4 linked regions of the Drosophila melanogaster genome follow. The protein of the gene in region 2 interacts with the protein of the main gene of each other region in a pairwise test. Each region holds a gene or a part of one and is shown on either strand. Other genes may lie near its edges.

Region 1 (3,790 bases), on a different chromosome or scaffold from region 2:
TCAGGCCAAAAGCAGCAGGCATTAACGAAAAGGAAACCGTCACCATCAACGGACAACCGGCTCAGGTGGAGTACTCCAATGGTGATATAGTCATCGAACTGGCCGATCATACGGTGATTGCCAAGATAGGTGGACGCACATTTCTGGGCGATCGCGAATCCTTCGACAATCGGGATAAATTAGAGGCGGAGGCAAAGAACTATGCCGATCGTATCCAGCAAGAGGTGCACGCCAATCTCCAGAAAACCATGGCTGATATTCAAAGGGATCTTCAGAATTCCCTGGGAAATATTTTCTATTAGAAGCCAAGTAATCAATCGTACACGAGTCGCTCGAAATAAAGCGCCTTTGCAGCAATTGTCTTGACTTTAATTGTCTTATCTATGGTTTACAAGCTAAGATGTTCTAAAAGATACATATCTAGTGTGTAATCCAAGTACAACAGACCCCAGACATGAGGCGTCTTTGGGCATAATCTTCCCATTTGACCGGCCTGAGGCCACAAACGTGTGGGTGGTTAGGTCAATTAATGGGAAATGACGCCCGGCAAATGTGATTGATTAGCGGGAAACTCACCGTATAGGCAGCTTATGGGGCGGCTAAATCTAATGCTTAGTATCGCCTAACAGACTAGGTTTGTATGGGCGTGTGGCGATTGGAATACAATTACCGAGCTTGCGGCGGTGTTTATGAACACTTCTTGGTATTTAAATGACGGAATTTCCCAACGAATCTTCGTAAATAAGACCAAGGTCTCTTATTCTTTATATTTGTGTTTTCCAAGCTAACTTAATAAATTCTTAATTAATGGCCTTGATCTTTTGTCAGCCACAAATTGTCTAATTGCATTGCTGTATACATTTGCTTGTTTATGAAAAATGCTTTTAATTGAATTAGGGTGGGTCGAACGAAATTTCTGCTTATTTTGTATTTCTAAATCGAGATTTGAAATTAAATTTCCATCGATGTTAAATCTTAAATTTCTATATCAGGTTGACAGTTATATATTTAATAAACTGCTACAAATTTGTTAAGTGAGAATGCTATAGTCGACTTGGGCAAATCGATAGAAATTTACAAGACAAATAAAAATATATAAAAAGTTTTAGTTTTGGGCGGCTTGTCGGCGTAAGAGGGATCGTTCAGAATGTGTAAGGTTGATCTAGAGCTTGATTTGCAACCCATAGTCAGTACAAACCAAGTATCTTATCTGTGTCCTTGTTGTCCATTTCGAAGATTGATTCGCTGCCATTTCCCATTTTCAAATTCAATGTCAATTCTGTTAATATGAGCGGAATGAACGCAGTGGATGGATATGTGGGGTGAACTTTTTATCTTAATGACTTTATTTATAGGCTGAAACTTAAAAGCGAAAACAATGGTATTCAAGTTATGTGAAGCAAAAATATCGAACTGCGCGCGAGCAGCTAGAGATGTGTTTTTTTTTTATCGATCCGGTATTTGATTGATAAATAATCGATTGTAAGTGGACACGTGCCCAAACACGTTGCGTTTGACAACTGCTTTTCTATCCAATTAATTGCGATAAATAGACGAAACGAATTCGGACCGAAAGATAGGTCTAAATTTATAGTGTCTATTCCTGCGCTTTCTAATGTCAACCACTTGAGATATTCGGAATAAGATCACTCGTCAAGATACGAAAATGAGCTTTTTGTTGACCGAACCGCAGTGGTCCGCCTGGTACTCCGCCTTTTACGCGTCTTCGATGAATCGTCTGGCCCAGAATGTGTGCACCGCTCAAGATCCCATCACTGTATGCCTGCGATCCGAGGCGGACTTATGCTCCGTTCCGTCAGGTGTGAAAACCTGGATAGAGTTGAGCAGGCAGGGCAAGGCCACTACCGGTGGTCCGGGATGGATATGCACGGGCCTGGACCTGCTGTGCCAGGAGATGGACAGAAAGTTGCCGCTTCCACTGGACTTTGAACTCTCCGCCGCACATTTGTTTTTCTGGCACAAGTTGGAGCGATGCAACTACTTCCTGTGGACGGTCGCCGATCTTCTAATGCGTTGCGAACCGCTGGATGGGCGCTGCTTTCGGAATTTAATTAAGAACCCAGTGCCAGATGGAGGCAACTGGCAAATGTTCGTTAATCTGGTCAAAAAATACGGAGTTATGCCCAAGAAATGCTACCTCCACTCCACTCAGCGAACTACAAAAATGAACCTCATACTGAAGAGTAAGGTTGGTATTTTGTATTGTACTGAATATTATATACATATGTATATATTTCCTTCACCTAAAGCTACGTGAATATGCCAGCATGCTGCATGCTCAGTTCACCTTTAATGGGAATGGCTGCCGTCTCCCCGATCTCATTCAAGAAATGATTCCGCATCTCTTCAAAGTAATATGCATCTGCCTTGGTGAACCTCCCAAGGTTTTCACCTGGTCCTTCTACGACCACAAAAAGCGTTACCAGTGCCTGAATGATATGACAGCGGTCCATTTCTACGAAGTTATGGTAGGCTGTACGGTGAATCTAGACGCCTTTGTCTGTCTGGGTCACGATCCGCGAATCTCATCCAGCTACCATAGCAACTATCAGGTTGCCAACAGCTCGAATATGATGGGCGGAAAACCTCATAGGTATAATAACCAATCAATGGACATCATAATGCAGATCATGGTGACTTCTCTGGAAGGTGATAAACCCGTTTGGATGGCCTGCGATATTCGTAGAGCAATCAGTTTGAAGTCCGGTCCATTAAGCCTGAGATCGCATCAATTTGATTTGCTATTTGGCTTTAAAGTGGGCGAGTCGCTCACCAAAGCAGAGAGACTTGACTACAGAGCATCCCGACGGGATGCAGCCCTGCTCCTTACATCCGTTGGATTGGACACCTTGAAACAGCCCGTACAGTTTCGCTTCATAAATGCTTCTACAATTGGCGAGTCTCCCGCCACCGGAGGTCTTAATGAACACGATGTGGACGAAAAGGTTACGAAGGCATTAAGAAAGAAGTCGGTCAAACCACCGGATAACAAATTGGACGCCGAATGGTTAAGGGAGTACGCTTTTGAGATTGTAGTCCACGAAAAATTTGTCCCATCGGGTGTTTTACATGCCGCAAGGATACATAAATGGAAAGAACTGCCTGCTTGGGATCCCATGGGCGCATTACTTAATTAAAAAATTGTTTAGAACCAAAAAAAAAATCTTTCATAAGAAATACATTTACTACATTTTATTTGCCTTCTTGAATAGATAAAAACTAAATCCATTCATTCAATTCAAGAAGAAAGTTCAACAACAATGACAAATTTCAAGTATTTTTCCGAACTGTGGGCGTGGCAACGTGAAATAAACTTGCGCTGCTTAATTTCAACTTTCTAGCTTTTATAGTACCTAAGATCTATCGATCGTGATCATGAATACTTGATATGGTCGAAAACGCTTTCTTCTTCCCTTTTACCCTTTTACTCTACGTGTAACTACGAGTATAAAAACAGTCAGCACGATTGAGTTTTGTTGTTTGTTGAAAATAGTTTTAGTAAGTAGTGAACAATTGACTACACTCTCGTTTAAAGTGTCCCATTTTTGAGTTTCCTGCGAACTCTTGTGCCAGCCGCCAATCGCTTGCATAAAATTATTTAAATATCCCGCAACGTTGTGTCCTTTGTGGCAGTTGTTGTCATCGTCACCGAGGCGCGACCTTCACTAAGTTTTTCGGGAATCGCTCCTACGTGCCCGGCATGACTAATTAGGCATTAGGGAGTTCTCGACAAGAGTTGTTGGCGCGGCCAGCAAAACGGCGACTGTTT
Region 2 (3,985 bases):
TGCCGCGGATATTTTTTTTTTGCCTGCGAATTCCAATAGAAACTACTCGGGAATAAACGGCTTGAGAACGGGAAGGAGAAACGGGTACAATCCAGGCAAAATCGAACGCGCACACACATGCAGCCGGTCGCCATGTTGGAATTCGAAAGTCTATGCAACTTTATTAATTTACTTGCAATTTAAGGTCGCTGGAAAACCAATTTCCAATTCGAATCGATTTACACAGCTATTATGCAAAAGGAATGAGAAGACCGGCCGGCAGCGCAAATCACTTACACTCTCTCACTTTTCGGAACTTTCTTTACTTTAGAACTTTCTTTAGGTTGGAAAATCGAACCGAAATTCGCCTAATAATGCAGGGTAGGGAATTCTGGGACTTTCCCTTTTTACATTTCCACAACTAATCAATGCCTATTAATATTTTCACAATTTAACGGGAGCTCTGCGTGCACTTACCTCGAAATCACAAAACGGAAAGACCGAAAAAGCAACGATGCTGAGGTGAACGGAGCTGAACTGATTCCGACCTAGAGATGGCACAGGATTCCATGTATGACAAGGGCCTTGGGTTTCCTATTGCATTATGCGGATTTCTTGACTTAAATAAAGTTTCCATCCCTTAAGTATAAAACGTACCAAAATAAAAATAGTAATACAATTTTACTACCATTCATGGAATATTTTATATTCTCTTAAACTGAGTCTTTTGCAGATAAAATAATATAGTACTTTCACGGACTGTCACTAAAAGTATGCACATTCACCACTAATTGCAAAAGACATTGTGCACACTATTCGCTTATGCGTTGAAATAAGACGCAAGCTCCTTCCTTTCTCTCTCTCTCGTCCTGTCGTACGACAGAACAATAGAAAATTTGACAGAACAAAAATGTTAGAAAGGAATTTGAAAAAATACTGTTAATAGTAATGTAATGTAATTAACAGTAATGCTTTAATACGTAGACCTTTTGCGTTCGTCTTTACTTGCCTATTTTATTGTATTAAAAGAATTAAAGTAAGTCTAAACATTACAATTAATAGCATTAGAACCCGAAAACGACTATAATGTACATTGGTCAAGAGCCATTATTTCCATTCACTGTCCGACTCGTATTCCTCCCAGTCCGGTTTCACGCCCACGGGCAACTTCTTCTGCTCCAGGTAAACGTTAAACTGCTCCGGAATCGACATAAATCTGCGAATCTTCAAGCGGAACTGCCGCCACGTCCACTGGCCAAAGTTTTTCCGATCGGCAACCATCGCCTTGTAGTTAAACTTATGTTTGTTAAGAAAGTAGGACAGTTCCTTGACCACGCCCTTGGGTAATCTGTGCAAATACAAAACCTGTATTTTGACAGTTTTCCATTGCAGAATCAATATTTTACCTGAACTCTGGGTCGGCTCGCTCGCTAGCCAGTTGTTCTAGTTCCTGGACTACGTGTCCACGTTTTGGACCCTCCTCTACGACTGGTTTCTTGAGGCCCAATACACGCCGCTCATCCTCGTCCAGCTCCTCCTCCAGAAACCCATTCACAACTCGGGCCGCTAGGAGGCGGTCCTTCTTGTAGCTGGGAATCGCAATGGCCTTGTTGACGTCCTTGGCCAACCCCATTTCACTGAAGTTGGTGCCCACACGCTGGTCCTCCATCCACATCTTTTTCATCCTGGGACTGGTAAGATCATAACAGAAGGTTTTCGTAAACTTGTTGACTCTATTGGCTGTAAGTGCACCAAGATCCAACTTACTCCTTAATTTTTCCGGTGGAACTCCGGGTTTTATTCATCGTCTTGCGGTTTACATTGTAGCGATAACGCTTGCGAGCATGATTCTTGCGGATCTTCATTGTTGAGAGGTTTAATTAATGAATCAAACAATGTTTAAAATCAATTGAGGGGACCAAAACAATTTTAAAACCGCACGTGTTGCAGCTGTTAGGAGTGACCGTGGACCGTAAAATACCGAAACCCTGATTTCAGTATTTCAATACCGCATAGCTAGAGATGACATACCGGCAAGATAAATGTTTTCGATAACGATAACGGCACGGCGTTATCTACAAGATTTTGTTTATATCCGTAGGAAACAAAATATAAATTAAGCCACCATGCGTGATGAGATTTTGGACCCCAGTAACCTAGTGAAGAACCGGGAGATACTCTACCGACTGATGATCAGCCAGCTGATGTACGACGGCCTGGAGAAGTTCGCCATGGAGCTGTCCATGCTGGTGAAGGCGGACCAGTGCGCTCCCAGTGAACGCCTGCTGCACGTAATGATTGCAGGGATGCAGACGCTGAGCGACAAGGACAAAACCAACTCGGATGATGTGCTGCCCGGCATAGACTTGGAATTCGAGCCGGAGGCTTCGGCCTTGGCCCCGGAACCACATTCCTACGAAACCGCGTATGTGACCTCGCACAAGCAGGCCTGTCGCGCCGGCGCCTTCAGTTGCGATGGTTCCCTGGTGGCCACCGGGAGCGTGGATGCCAGCATCAAGATTCTGGACGTGGAGCGGATGCTGGCGAAGTCTGCGCCCGAAGATATCGAGCCGGGCAGGGAACAACAAGGCCATCCAGTGATTCGCACGCTCTATGATCACACTGATGAAGTGTCTTACCTGGAGTTCCATCCCAAGGAGCACATCCTGGCCTCCGCCTCGCGCGATGGCACTGTTAAGTTGTTTGACATTGCCAAGCCTTCGGTAAAGAAGGCCCACAAGGTGTTCACCGACTGCGAGCCGGTGCTGTGCCTGTCTTTTCATCCTACTGGTGACTACGTAGCCATCGGAACGGAACATAACGTCTTGCGGGTCTACGATGTGGCCACCACCCAATGCTTCGTGAGTGCCATTCCCTCGCAGCAGCACAAGGCTGGAGTTACTTGCGTGAAATATTCGCCCACGGGGAAACTCTACGCCACAGGCAGCTATGATGGTGACATCAAAATATGGGATGGGATCAGCGGGCGGTGCATCAACACCATTGCCGAGGCGCATGGCGGAGCGGCAATATGCTCACTGGAGTTTACGCGGAATGGAAAGGTAATGGGACACTATGGGTAGTGGCTGTGCAAGATTTTAACTTATTCATTTTAGTACCTCCTATCTTCCGGTATGGATTCACTGGTTTATCTGTGGGAGCTGTGTACCAGTCGTCCCATTCAGACGTACACGGGCGCTGGAACCACCGGCAAGCAGGAGCACCAGACAGAGGCTGTATTCAACCACACAGAGGATTACGTGCTTTTCCCCGACGAGGCCACCACTTCGCTTTGCTCGTGGAACTCCCGTAACGGCTGCCGCCTGACCCTTAACTCGCTTGGACACAACGGACCTGTCCGCTATATTACGCATTCGCCCAATGGTCCTGCTTTCCTCACCTGCTCCGACGACTTTCGGGCACGTTTCTGGTACCGAAGAGCAAATAATCAGTAAACGGATGAAGCTACACCAATCGAATAAAACTTTAAGGAATAAAATATGTACACGTTCATTATTCAATTATTGTGATTGGCTGTGGGGGTTTTTAAGTGTATCGATTTGTGATTTTATCAGAATTAATGAAATATGTTTCAAACGCTTTTAAAAATAATTAATCAGTAAAATTTTCTTTATTAAAAACTCGTTTGTGGTTTTTCCATGAATAGTTATCCTAAAATCGCAACTATAATTTCTAGTCATTGAGCGCACAAGTCTTAAGTCGTATTTGTTGCGTTAAGTAAACTGTAAAAATCATAATACATAATACCAGATTGGGATTCCGTATAAATATCAGTTGTCTCTTCACTGGAAGTCCGTTTTGTTGTACGCTGGAACATTGATCCAATGCCTTATGACTACACCTAGATCCTAGTTAAGTGGCCTTAGTAGTTAATTAAGTTTACAACATTTCGTGGGGCCGCAGAACAGCGTTGTCGCGTTCCTCCGAAGCCACCAACACGTTTTGAAGATTGCACAATTAGCCAATACATTTGATTCCAACTTGT
Region 3 (4,893 bases), about 14 Mb from region 2:
CACCTAAGTGTCACTATTTCTGAAACCGTCGAGGTGGCCGGAATTCTTCCAATTCCCCACTCCATTGTTTCCCGGAAAAGCCCCGTCCCCCATTGGATTTATTTTTTATACACCCCCAATCCCACTCTAAAGTCTTACACGAAAACGAATCAAAAACAAGCAATGCACAGAGGGAAATTACGGAAAAATGTGTTACGGACGCAGGTGATGGCTCCGTCAACACACACACACACACACATGCACAGCTCCTCCAAGGGGAAATGGGAGGTGGTGGGTGGCAGATGGGGGTGCTGGGCGGGTGCAAGGGTGGCGCCTTGCCCTCAGCACGTGGAGACGCACTTTGGCAAAAGCAATCTTCTAAACAGGATAAATGTAATTGCGCATGAATTTCTACGCATATTTCGGCGTCGCTGTCTGAGCTGCAAATGTTTGTTACCCATTTGTTTGGTTGTGTTTTTTATGCTCGCTTTTCCCGTCGCTGAAAAGCGTTCTCCGACATTTCGAGGAGCTGTCACCCCATTGGCCCTCCACTGGCCACGCCCCCAAAGAGAGTGCTCTCTCCGGTCTCGCCGTCTCTCTCTTTCGACGGGTAATTGACTCGCATAATGTTTGTTTTGTTTTGAGCAAATCGTTTGCAACACTCTTTGAATGCCTCGTGGTTGTCTCATAAAAAGCGAAAGCATTTAAAAATTCAATTTGCCCTCTCTCTCATTCTCTCTCTCTCTAACTTTTTCTTGCTCTCACCCGCTCTTTTTCTGCAAAGTTTGCAGAGCTCCTTCGCAAAAATGGCCGCCTGTTCGCTTTTTGGGGGAGGTTTTCTCTTTGGGGAACGGAACGCTGTGGAATGAAACATGCTATAAGGTAGAAAGCTCAGAGATTCCAAATAAAAGAAGAAACGGGAATGCATTACAATGACATGAACGATACTAAATATAACTTAATACGTTGGGAAATTGCTTACATATTTTTAATTATTTAAATATAATTGTTGAAAATCTTTCACTTAATTTCTTAAGGATACCTTCTATCCTCGTATTTTTGATAATATCGTTTTTGATTAACGTTGTTCTTCACCATTTCGTTATCAAACATAATAAATACATTTGATATTTTATACATTTGATAACACCCACAAAACCTCTTTTACTTTTCTTTGCATAATTTATAAGTTGCTTGTTTATTTCTTTCGATATTTTAGCAATTCAATGATTTATCTATATCACCGAACCCCATTTGTTGAAACTTTCACCGCTCAATCTGCTAACCGCAAGGTTGCAATCGACTGGTGCATTTTCGGCACACACTTTTCTGGTCGAAAAAGTTTGCATCTGGCTGGCTGGGAAATTTCAATGGCGCCACAGAGCAACACTTGACCCCTGTTAGGTGGCAATTGATTGATTTTATATTGGCATTTCAATAGACACCAGCCGAGCGAAGCGATTCGAGTCGAGCCGAGTGCGCCCCCACTTTAGACGCGTTCCAAATGCCAAGTGTTTCCCATTCGGGGGGTAGGAAAACCAAAGCGCACTCCACCAGCACCGCAGAGAAAAAATAGTAAAGGAGGAAAATGCGAAAAGTGTCTGTCGATGCGGTTGCAGTGCAATTGTCGAAATAAACGAAAAGAAATTCCGAACTGCAAATGGAATGAAAAAGAGCGGCAGAAGGGGTGGGCCACCAGGCGGTGAAAGAGAGGGACAGCGAGAGCGATAGAGAGAGAGTGGGACACACCCTCCCAGGAGGGGTAGCAAATACGCAAGTGTGTGTGTGAGTGCGGAAAACCATTTAGCGCAAAGACCAAAAGAATTTGCAGGGCTGCCAGCCAACCACCTCAGTCTCAGTTTCAGTTCCACGCTCTCCGGACACGAGACCGGGGGTTAAAAATCCAGAGACTGAAACAATAAAAACACTAAACGATCGCTTTGCCACACACAAACACAAGCACACACACACACGCAGACACACACAAGCACTCGCATACATACAGAGACAGAAAGGACGAAGGACTCAGAACACAGAACTCAGGACTGCGTCTGTTAACAGCCGCATTTAAATTCAAATGCGAAACGTTGATCAAACGGTGCAGACGTGTTTCTCCCAACGGTAGCGCTCGGCGTTTTCCCTTAACGAGTTTTTCGTGGCACGACTGAAGTGTACAAGGTTTGGAAAATTCTTTATTTTCCTAACAAATATATATAAAACAAAAAAAAAAAAACACACACACAAGTGCAAGTTGAAGAACAAAAGTGCTGAATTAAACGTTTAAACTGCAAATCTAAGCAAAAATCTCAAGCTATGTCTTCCTCCGAGGCCGAAGTTGACATCAGTGTGGTGTCCAGTCCGGAGCCGAGTCCTTTGGGCGCCGCTGCCCGCGACAGTCCGCTGCTGGCCCGCTCGCCGGCCCGTTCCGCCGACGGCAGTTCGCCCCCGGCCACGCCTACCCATCGCTCCAATACGCCCAACACGGCCGCCGGCACGCCCACAACGTCCGCCTCGGGCGGCAATCACTTCCATCACAGTCCCAGCGGAGGCGCTGTGCCGCCGGCGGTGTTGCACCATCATCTGCAGCACCATCTGAGCAGCCTGGGCAGCCATCCGGTGGCGCTGCATCACGCGCTCCACACCTTTGGCCACTTGCATCCCGCCCACGGGGCCACACATCCCGCCCTGCTGCAGCACGCACTCACGCCCACCGGCCAGCAGCAGCAGCAACAGTTGCAGGTGCAGCAGCAACACCAGCAGTCGCATGTCGAGCGCCTTAGTCCGCCAATGAAGAGTCCGGAGCGGAATGGCGGCGATGAGGTGCAAGGACACAGTCTGAACAACAACAACAGTAAGGCCCTCAATCACAACAACACTTGCGCCTCGGCGGCCGCAGCGGCGGCAGCAGCAGCGGTGGCAGCGGCCAACCTGAGCAACAACAGCAACGACAGCAACGGGAGCAGCGGGGGCGGCGGCGGCAAGAGCACCACCGGCTCCAACGGATTCACCAGCTTCTCCATCTCCAGCATCCTGAGTCGCAGTGAGCCGGCCAAGAAGAACGGCGCCGCCGGACTTATCACTCCGATCCCGCAGTTGCCGCAACCAGGAGCCGGCGGTCCACAGGATGCGGCCATGTTGTCCAGGTAATTAAAAAACATTCCAGACTTGCTCTAGTCAAAAATAGCCCTCCCATTTCAAATGTGATTAATCTTGTAAATATGAAGTCGCCAAATTTAAAAATCTTAGTGTCAACATTTTACTTCAATTCATTTTAACAATTTAATCTGCAAAAATTTAGTCCATCCATCTGTCATATATAATTAGTTACTTCTGACGATATTCAGCTATTCCGCCTAATTTTGATCCGCAAGATATTTTAAAAAAATACAAACTCGAACTAAAATTTCATTCAAATTTTAACCCTATAATTACTGAAATTAAATGAGTATAATTTCATATGCCCAAGGATTTCCCATTGAATACCTTTTTTTGTAATAATAAAAATCACTCGTCTTAAGTACCATACCCATTTATTGCTCAGTGTAGGCGACCCAGATTAGGACGTTCGCCGGCGAACTGAAACCAAAAAGTCAAGCCTTGCCTCAATGAGCCCAAAACCCAAAGAGGCTGCCATTCCACTTGTTCGCCCTCGGGTTGGGCCAATTTTGTATAATCGTCCTAGGGGAAGACAAGGCAAGGTGACACAAATCTCTTCGCAGGAAGTGCACAAAGAGGAGAAATGGGATGGAGACGGACTGAGATGGTAGCCGGGAGATGGTCGATAAGACCGAAAATTGTTGGGCAAACGTTACACGAGACATTAAGTGGGTGAAGATGCAAATGGCTAAAGTACCATGCCATTGTGCTCCGAGAATCTAACGATTCCAAATTCCAGATGCCAGACAGATAAAGCAAATCCAATGGAACCGTTTTTAGTTGCACTGGACGCTAGCTGACCTCGAATATATGCAGAAAAGGTCTAAACCATTTTTGCCCTGCAATTTGGCCAGACTATCGAGTTACATAACATTTGTTAGATGAAATTTAATGCACCGCTTCGGGAATGAATGTAACCGACTGTCCGGCTGATTGACGGACTGACAATGCTCCAGTATCGTATGCAAAACGTGGTCCTTTCGAATGAATGAACCCTCAGTCCCTCCAAGCTGACCCACAAAAACTGGTACGTTTCTACAGCTGTTTGTTGTGCGAATGCAACTTATTGATACACAATGTGCACTGGAAATAAACAAGTCCGAGCTAATATTAACGGATTTTGTAAAATTTAATTGTGAAAAATAGCACTCGAAAAATGTACACCTACATAAATCTATATTTATTTAGGTACTATTCATTAAAGAGCTTATTTCTCTTGCAACATATTCCATTGATTCAATTTAAATTTGTCTCAGTGCAAATGCGTTTTTTATTCATTTCATTCATATCATAAACGCTGGCATATTAACCCCACTTAGCCGGCTTTTTGAGTCAGCGATCGAATTTCCAGGCAGCTCGATTAACGCATGTGTTGAATTAAAAAAAAAAAAAAACAACCAAGAGAATTTATAAGTTGCACTTTTATTTTACGAGAGAATGGGAGGGGGACTCCCCCAGACGTTTTAGTCCTCGAACTTTTTAATAACGATCATTTTCATTTCATTTACGCGTGCCCGCGTCGCTGATCGTCTCGATAAGGAAAGTCGGGCTGGTGGGCAGGTTCTGTGGCCGAGGGTCGCTACTGTCCCAGTCAACTGGACTGTGGCCCGTGCGTGGTTACCCCAATTAAGGACCTCGTCCTGGACAAAGTGTCGCCTCCTGCTGTTTGGCGCTAGCCCAGCTGACGTGTGGCTGCCTATGTGACTGGCTTATCAGTTGATCATCATCGGCCAGAATGATTAATGCCGGGGGGATATG
Region 4 (7,436 bases), on a different chromosome or scaffold from region 2:
CTAGAATGCGGTTTAGAACAGGCTCAAGCGACGGTCTTGTTTGATTCGAAAACCGCTAACGTCCTTCAGTGGAGTCCAAAATTTGAGGCAGCAAATTATCAGACACTCGGTATGGAAGTTGAATAATCGTCTGTTGCAATGTCGGATGAGGTGACAAAAAAAGGCTTTTCCTCTAGCCGGCAGTCAAGAAGCATTCGATGAGCCAAAAACTAAAAAAGAAAAAAATAATAAAAACAATTCAGTCGCTTCAGTTATCCGCAATGACAAATTTGAAATGTCAGCAGTCGCCGCCAAGTGTCATTGCCTTTGTGAAGATGTGCGAAGCAAGTTATGACCCGAATAAGTTAGCCAGCAATTATGTAATAAAAGACAAGAATTAATGTGGCTCTAAGTGGCGTCTGATGGCCGCAGGGGTGACTTCCGTTCGGCTGCACTTCCTCTGGGTGTTGTTCCGCCGTTTTATCTAGACCCTGACTACCCAGTGACCACGCACCTTTGGGCCGAAAGAGTTCAAAGTCACATCTATTTTGGGCCCGCTCATGACTGCGCGTGGCCAGTGGGTGTCACTCTGATTGGTTCATTAAAATCAAGACGTGACTGCTTGCGAATAAATAAATTCTAGTTATTAAACTGGCGAAATGCAGGCGATGACAAATGCCGAAACCCGTTTGGGAGTCGCTCGAAGAATGCAGCACTGAACACCGATCACCGATCACCGATCATCGAGATCTTCGAGTGTGCGTTTAAAGGTCACTCGGCTGACACGGAGTCAGAGATGAGCTGAGCCGAGCTGAGCCTACCTTAACATTCAACTCCGGCTGCCATCTGCTGACCCCCGGGCACACGCATTTTTGGCCAAGTCAACCGGTTCATGTTCAATTGGCCGACTCCAACTCCAACATCGACTCGCAACTCCAACTGCATTTAGGCCTGATCCGAGGGGTAAGTGCCATTAGCCAACGCCTGATCTTCTCGGCCTTATTTGCCTTGGCAAGCTTCGTTGGGAGCCTTGACTTGGCTCTCGATCGTCGAGCCAGCTTCGGCTTGTCTCATCGATTGATGAAATTCGGTGGCTCGGACCCATTTACCAAATTAAATGCTGCACGACAACGTGTTTAACACTCGCCGCAGACTTCTGCCAAAAGTACGAGCATATTTGCCAGCCATCGGAGTTGGCTAAATAGAAATGCCAACAAGAGCAGGCGTTGGTGGATGGATGGTCGGATGGCCGGATGGTGCGTCTGGCTTAGTTGCTCTTCTGCCATAATTGCTGGGCCTTAATTTGGCTGCCTTTTTGTCTTAGCCATGTTATCTGGCTGTTAACTCACAAACATCAAACAACCGAGACTGGTTGGCTTTCTGGTCAGCATTCAGCTGTCGGCGTCGCTGTCGACGAAGGCTGAGGCATCAGCAGCGGCAGAGACTTCGTATTCGGCTCATCTTCATCTGGCCAAAACGCTTTCGATTTCGGCTTTTGGCCGTGTGTTAACAGCTGTCGCCCAGGTGAAGATGCCTCTGCCGACGCCGCTGCCCAAGTGGGCAGATGCTGGGTCCGAGTATATATAGAAAATCTACAAGTTTTGATGCTTTAGTTGGTATTCCACACTCGACCTAGAAGTTAAACCAACTTAGCTTGGCATCGATCAAATTCAATCGTCCATTGAATTTGATACGATCGGTCGCGTCTTCTCCTTTCCGATCCTCACAGTACCGTCCGCAAGGATTATTCACGCACACCGCCTAGGATTACCTACGCACCCGGGATTACCGCAACTGCCGTTTGTAGCAGTCCGAAAGTGTACACCATGGTAACCGAACCCAGTTCCAATCCAATCTAAACCAAAACGAACAATGATCGTGTGCAAAGTGCAAAATAACGAAACAAGTGTCCCTCGGTGTGAAGACAAACAAGACAGACATTTCGCAAAGGAAAAGCAGTGCAGATGAAGATAAAAAGTATCAGTTTTGTTGGTCCAAAATATTTAGGGAGTTTCCACGTTTTATAGTTTGGGCTTGTGACAGTACAGAAAATAATTGAACGAATACGAATTTTCAATGATATTTGTATTCAAACTTTAATTTTAAATTAAAACATTTCTTGTGTTAAAATAATGTGTCAGCTATTTAGCGCTAGATCTTCAGAAATTTATTAATCCGAACTTGTATAAAAGGATACTAAAAAAGCATGTTCTACAATTTTATAGGGATACAATCATAAAAAAGGGTTATAAGATAAGATAGGGCCTTTAAGTTCATTCAAAATCATTCCGATTTTTCTCTGTGCATACCCAAGCATCGCAAACAAGAAGAAATAGCAAATAAATTGCCAACACCGACTGCAGTTCCAATTCAATCGCCATCTATTTGCATTTCACATTTTGTCGAGGGTCCAGCTCTGGACCCGGGCTATCATCGCGAGTTAAGAGTTGACCAGATGGCGGTTGACATTTAAGCCATGTAGAAATTGAGCAAGTGGCATCGAGTGCAATGTTACGCATACGCCGTGTTGGCCGCCCACAGAGCAAATCGCCTTGGCGCGATCCGCAATTTGCGTATTAAGTCATTAGGATGGACCAGCTGCATGTGCATTCTGCCATGTGGCGGCAGTTTCTATGTCAGCATTGACATGGCTGAAGATGAAATTAAAACTTGTTTTTTTTTCCATAATTTTCGCTTTTGCTTCTGACATTTGCTAGTCGCAATTTGCGATTGGCGTATTTAGGTAAATAGCCATAAAAACGTTGCCTTAAGTTAGATTCTTGACGTTGCCATTGAATAGACGTCCATTAATCACCATCATTGTTGCCAAAGAAGATTTCATTTGTTAAAGGGCCGACTGATCTTTTCCCCAGACTTTAATTCACCCAAATCTCTCACAGTTTCGGAAAAATAAAGTTGCCCCAAAAGTCTTGGCATTGGGGCTCTGCCCTCGAGGCGGTGTGAATCAGATTAATTAGCTGCCAATTAGCTCACTGAACAGTCGAGGGAATCGGTTTGCCCCTGCAAATATCTCTCCAAGTCCTTTCACTTTCTAACCTTTAAGCACCACCCGCCATAAGTCAAACCCGATTTGGTTCTCGATATCCTCAGCTCAATTGTGGCTGATATTTAAAACAAGTTAGAACAGCAAAAATTTTAGGTTCATTAGCATAAATTATTTAAAATCATTTACATACAAAGATCAAATATTTTTGAAATTAGCAAACAATCAGAAACCAACAAAAAAAATAAATGAAACTGGACCCAGTCGATTTTGGAGGTATGGCTTAAAATCTAACAGATTTGGTTATAAATGACAACCGGGGCTTACTATTCTTCGCATGCCAGATGCGTATGCTAATTTTGCGTTTTCTCACTAGTTTTATGGCCAGTCTTTGCTGATTATTATATAATCATGGCTAGAACTGGTCTGGAGTTTGGGGCCCGGATCCGGGCCGGTTTCTTTCATAATCGGCTATTTTTATAGCCCCCGAAAATTCTCCGTCAGCCAATTAATTGAGCTCATCGACACTGGCCATCTGCGGCCATCGACGAGCACTTTCATTAACTAACAATGACCTTGCCGAAACTCCAGCGACAAATGCAAATAAACCCGCTGACAGCATCGTCGGAAGCCATAATTCAGGGGCTACTTCCTCGGATCCCCATTGAGCTTCGGATCTGTTGTGTCGCTCCGCATTTGCATGGGCATTATGTATCAATCGCGTCAATCTGCGATATTTACATACATAGCTCCGGGGGAGGGGACTGACCTAGAGATGCTAATGCCCGTCAAAGTTGAATGTCTGCGTTAGCATTTCGGGTGATTTTCAATGCATTATGGTAAATCGATTCGCCAGCTTGGCTGTTTGTTGGCTGAACTTTACCACAGTTTTGAACTGCAGGCCAGCGGAGTTGCCTTGCCTCCTCCGACCCCGACCAAGTTGCCACGAAGCGTGAATAGGCGATTAGCCTAGAAGGCGATCAATTAGTCGCAATCAGGTTGTTAGAGCCAGTCGTTAGTCTGAGCACCTCTGTACGGCGACACCATCGAAGTCCATCAATATGTAGCATCACTAATCAGGCTGTGTTTTTCGTTCCTTCCCCACAGAGAAGTGCACTGTTCGTCTTGGCGCTTTGCGTTGTGGCTGTGGCCACCGCATCGGCCGATAACCATGAGGTAAGTGCGGAAATCTGACGATTCCCTGCCAACAGGAACTTACAAGCCACTTTTTACAGCGCAAGACTCGTGCCGCCGAGGGATACTTCTACCCCCCTCCCGATGTTCCATTCGATCTGCCCGTCCGCACCACACAGCCGCCAACAAGGCCGCCAACGCGCCCTCCTACTAGGCCACCCACCAGGCCACCCACCAGGCCTCCCACGCCACCACCAACCTACCTGCCGCCCACCAACAAGCCACTGCCACCAGTGACCACCCGTCTTCCTCCACCACCACCACCACCAAGGACTCCTCCCCCAACGAGGCCCCCAACTAGGCCACCAACCACTCGTCCTCCGGCAACCTACCTGCCACCCACCAACAAGCCACTGCCACCAGTGACCACCCGTCTGCCTCCTCCACCACCATCACCAAGGACTCCTCCACCAACGAGGCCGCCAACTAGGCCACCAACCACTCGTCCTCCAGCAACCTATCTGCCACCCACCAACAAGCCACTGCCACCAGTGACCACCCGCCTGCCTCCTCCACCACCACCACCAAGGACTCCTCCACCAACGAGGCCCCCAACTAAGCCACCAACCACTCGTCCTCCAGCAACCTACTTGCCACCCACCAACAAGCCACCGCCACCAGTGACCACTCGTCGTCCAACACCACCACCAACGAGGCCACCACCACCACCGACCCGTGCATCGACTCCAGCTCCTACCTACCTGCCTCCCACCAACAAACCACTGCCACCAGTCACCGTGCGCACCACTGTTCGCACCACTCCTCGTCCAACTCCTCCTCCTACCAAGCCACCAACTCGCCCACCAACCACTTATCTGCCACCCCCAACTGTGCGCACCACCCGCCCTCCTCCACCACCCACTCGGCCACCAACTAAGCCACCAACCACTTACTTGCCTCCCGTTACCGTGCGCACCACCCGTGCCACCCCCCCACCAACTCGCCCACCAACCCGGCCACCAACCTACCCACCGACCACTCGTCGTCTGACCACTCCGGCTCCTACTTACTTGCCACCCACCAACAAGCCTCTGCCACCGGTCACCGTTCGCACCACCGTTCGTACCACTCCTCGTCCAACTTTGCCTCCTACCAAGCCACCAACTCGCCCACCAACCACTTACCTGCCACCCCCAACTGTGCGCACCACCCGCCCTCCTCCACCACCCACTCGTCCACCAACTAAGCCACCAACCACTTACTTGCCTCCCGTTACCGTGCGCACCACCCGTGCCACCCCACCACCAACTCGTCCCCCAACTCGCCCCCCAACCCCTCCTCCAACTAGGCCACCACCACCACCAACCCGTGCATCGACTCCAGCTCCTACCTACCTGCCTCCCACCAACAAACCACTGCCACCAGTCACCGTGCGCACAACTGTTCGTACCACTCCTCGTCCAACTTTGCCTCCTACCAAGCCACCAACTCGCCCACCAACCACTTACTTGCCACCCCCAAGTGTGCGCACCACCCGCCCTCCTCCACCACCCACTCGTCCACCAACTAAGCCACCAACCACTTACTTGCCTCCCGTTACCGTGCGCACCACCCGTGCCACCCCACCACCAACTCGCCCACCAACCCGGCCACCAACCTACCCACCCACCACTCGTCGTTTAACAACCCCGGCTCCTACTTACCTGCCACCCACCAACAAGCCTCTGCCACCGGTCACCGTTCGCACCACCGTTCGTACCACTCCTCGGCCAACTCTGCCTCCTACCAAGCCACCAACTCGCCCACCAACCACTTACCTGCCACCCCCAACTGTGCGCACCACCCGCCCTCCTCCACCACCCACTCGGCCACCAACTAAGCCACCAACCACTTACTTGCCTCCCGTTACCGTGCGCACCACCCGTGCCACCCCACCACCAACTCGCCCACCAACCCGGCCACCAACCTACCCACCCACCACTCGTCGTTTGACAACCCCGGCTCCTACTTACCTGCCACCCACCAACAAGCCTCTGCCACCGGTCACCGTTCGCACCACCGTTCGTACCACTCCTCGGCCAACTCTTCCACCCACGAGGCCCCCAACTAAGCCACCAACCACCTACCTGCCTCCCCCAACTGTGCGCACCACCCGCCCTCCTCCACCACCCACTCGGCCACCAACTAAGCCACCAACCACCTACCTGCCCCCCGTCACTGTTGTGCGCACCACCCGACCTCCTCCACCACCCACTCGTAGGACCACCGTGTACGTGCCACCACCAACAGTGCGCACCACCGTGTACGTGCCACCCCCTACGCAGCGCACCACAGTCTACGTCCCACCCGCACCCACCAAGCACCAGGGCTACCAGTACCCCGTGCCCAGCATCCCCTTCAACTTCTAGATCTAGAGATCCAGATGTGATTAGGGATAGGGCCATCGTCTAGGGCTAGATTGATCTAGTCAATTCTCGTACAGTCTAACTTTACACGATCCGGCGCCAGCGGTGCTAGAGGGCGCCACTGGTGCGCCTGCAAGGACGACATTTGTTTGTTTTTATTTTATTTTTGTAATTAATGAATCGCATACTCATACAGCTAGGGATCATTGTAAATGAGTGCCCCAATTGTACAGCTAACAGTCTATCCAACTCTTGCTATGTTCTATCACTATTCTACAATCGATGGGCGGCCGTCGTCTGTGACGGACGCCAGCTCAAGACTATATAGCTCTATATTACGATTAAATAAACTTTTAATTCGGATCGCTGAAACCTGAACAATAAAATAAGTTTTTCGAATATTTACAAGCATTTTTTTCATCTGTTTTTGGGAAGCGGAAATTACATGCGGTCCTGTTATGTTATGTGCGATGTTTGAAACCCAAACAATAATAACATATTTTCTTTTTCACTCCTAACCGGGAAATGGGATCAAGCCATGTCCGGGAGATTTTGTGGTCTGGTTGGTCTCGTGGGTTCCTCCTCTTTTGGGAGTTATCTTAAAAGTCGGTTTTAACGACTATGCAAAGGAGATCGTTGCTTGCAAGTCATAAAGCGCCCAAAGTGCAGGTTAGGCAGTTAACCTTGACCTCCACTTCTGGTCTCTACTAATTTAAGTTATGGATGTGAAACACGTTAGCTTAGTTAATAGGTTTGAAAAGTTCGTATGAGTAGGTATTTAAATACATGTATGTTTACTATGAGCGATGTATATTTTCATGAAATATGAAATAATTTAACCTTAGGTTATAATTAAATGTCAAATTTGAGATATAGTTAAAATGTGATTTGAACTTATGACTTTTAAAATATTG

The links.
Region 1: the proteins of CstF50 (region 2) and CG13423 interact in a two-hybrid assay, tested with the Drosophila melanogaster proteins (one large-scale study listed by BioGRID).
Region 3: the proteins of CstF50 (region 2) and Hmx interact in a two-hybrid assay, tested with the Drosophila melanogaster proteins (one large-scale study listed by BioGRID).
Region 4: the proteins of CstF50 (region 2) and CG13731 interact in a two-hybrid assay, tested with the Drosophila melanogaster proteins (one large-scale study listed by BioGRID).

The regions. Positions count from the first base shown.
Region 1 is NT_033778.4:20,535,023-20,538,812, forward strand, and holds CG13423 (uncharacterized protein), read left to right. Parts: upstream 1-1,555; 5' UTR 1,556-1,666; coding exon 1,667-2,209; intron 2,210-2,270; coding exon 2,271-3,158; 3' UTR 3,159-3,242; downstream 3,243-3,790. Other genes in the region: Bbd (bombardier), read left to right, coding at 1-302.
Region 2 is NT_033777.3:31,735,001-31,738,985, reverse strand, and holds CstF50 (cleavage stimulation factor 50 kD subunit), read left to right. Parts: upstream 1-2,022; 5' UTR 2,023-2,105; coding exon 2,106-3,041; intron 3,042-3,095; coding exon 3,096-3,434; 3' UTR 3,435-3,483; downstream 3,484-3,985. Other genes in the region: CG11563 (uncharacterized protein), read right to left, coding at 1,087-1,327, 1,386-1,670, 1,747-1,844.
Region 3 is NT_033777.3:17,557,072-17,561,964, forward strand, and holds the start of Hmx (H6-like-homeobox), read left to right. Parts: upstream 1-1,858; 5' UTR 1,859-2,292; coding exon 2,293-3,122; intron 3,123-4,893. UniProt on the Drosophila melanogaster protein: Transcription factor involved in specification of neuronal cell types.
Region 4 is NT_037436.4:17,383,117-17,390,552, reverse strand, and holds CG13731 (uncharacterized protein), read left to right. Parts: upstream 1-1,596; 5' UTR 1,597-1,805; coding exon 1,806-1,808; intron 1,809-4,090; coding exon 4,091-4,159; intron 4,160-4,218; coding exon 4,219-6,525; 3' UTR 6,526-6,917; downstream 6,918-7,436.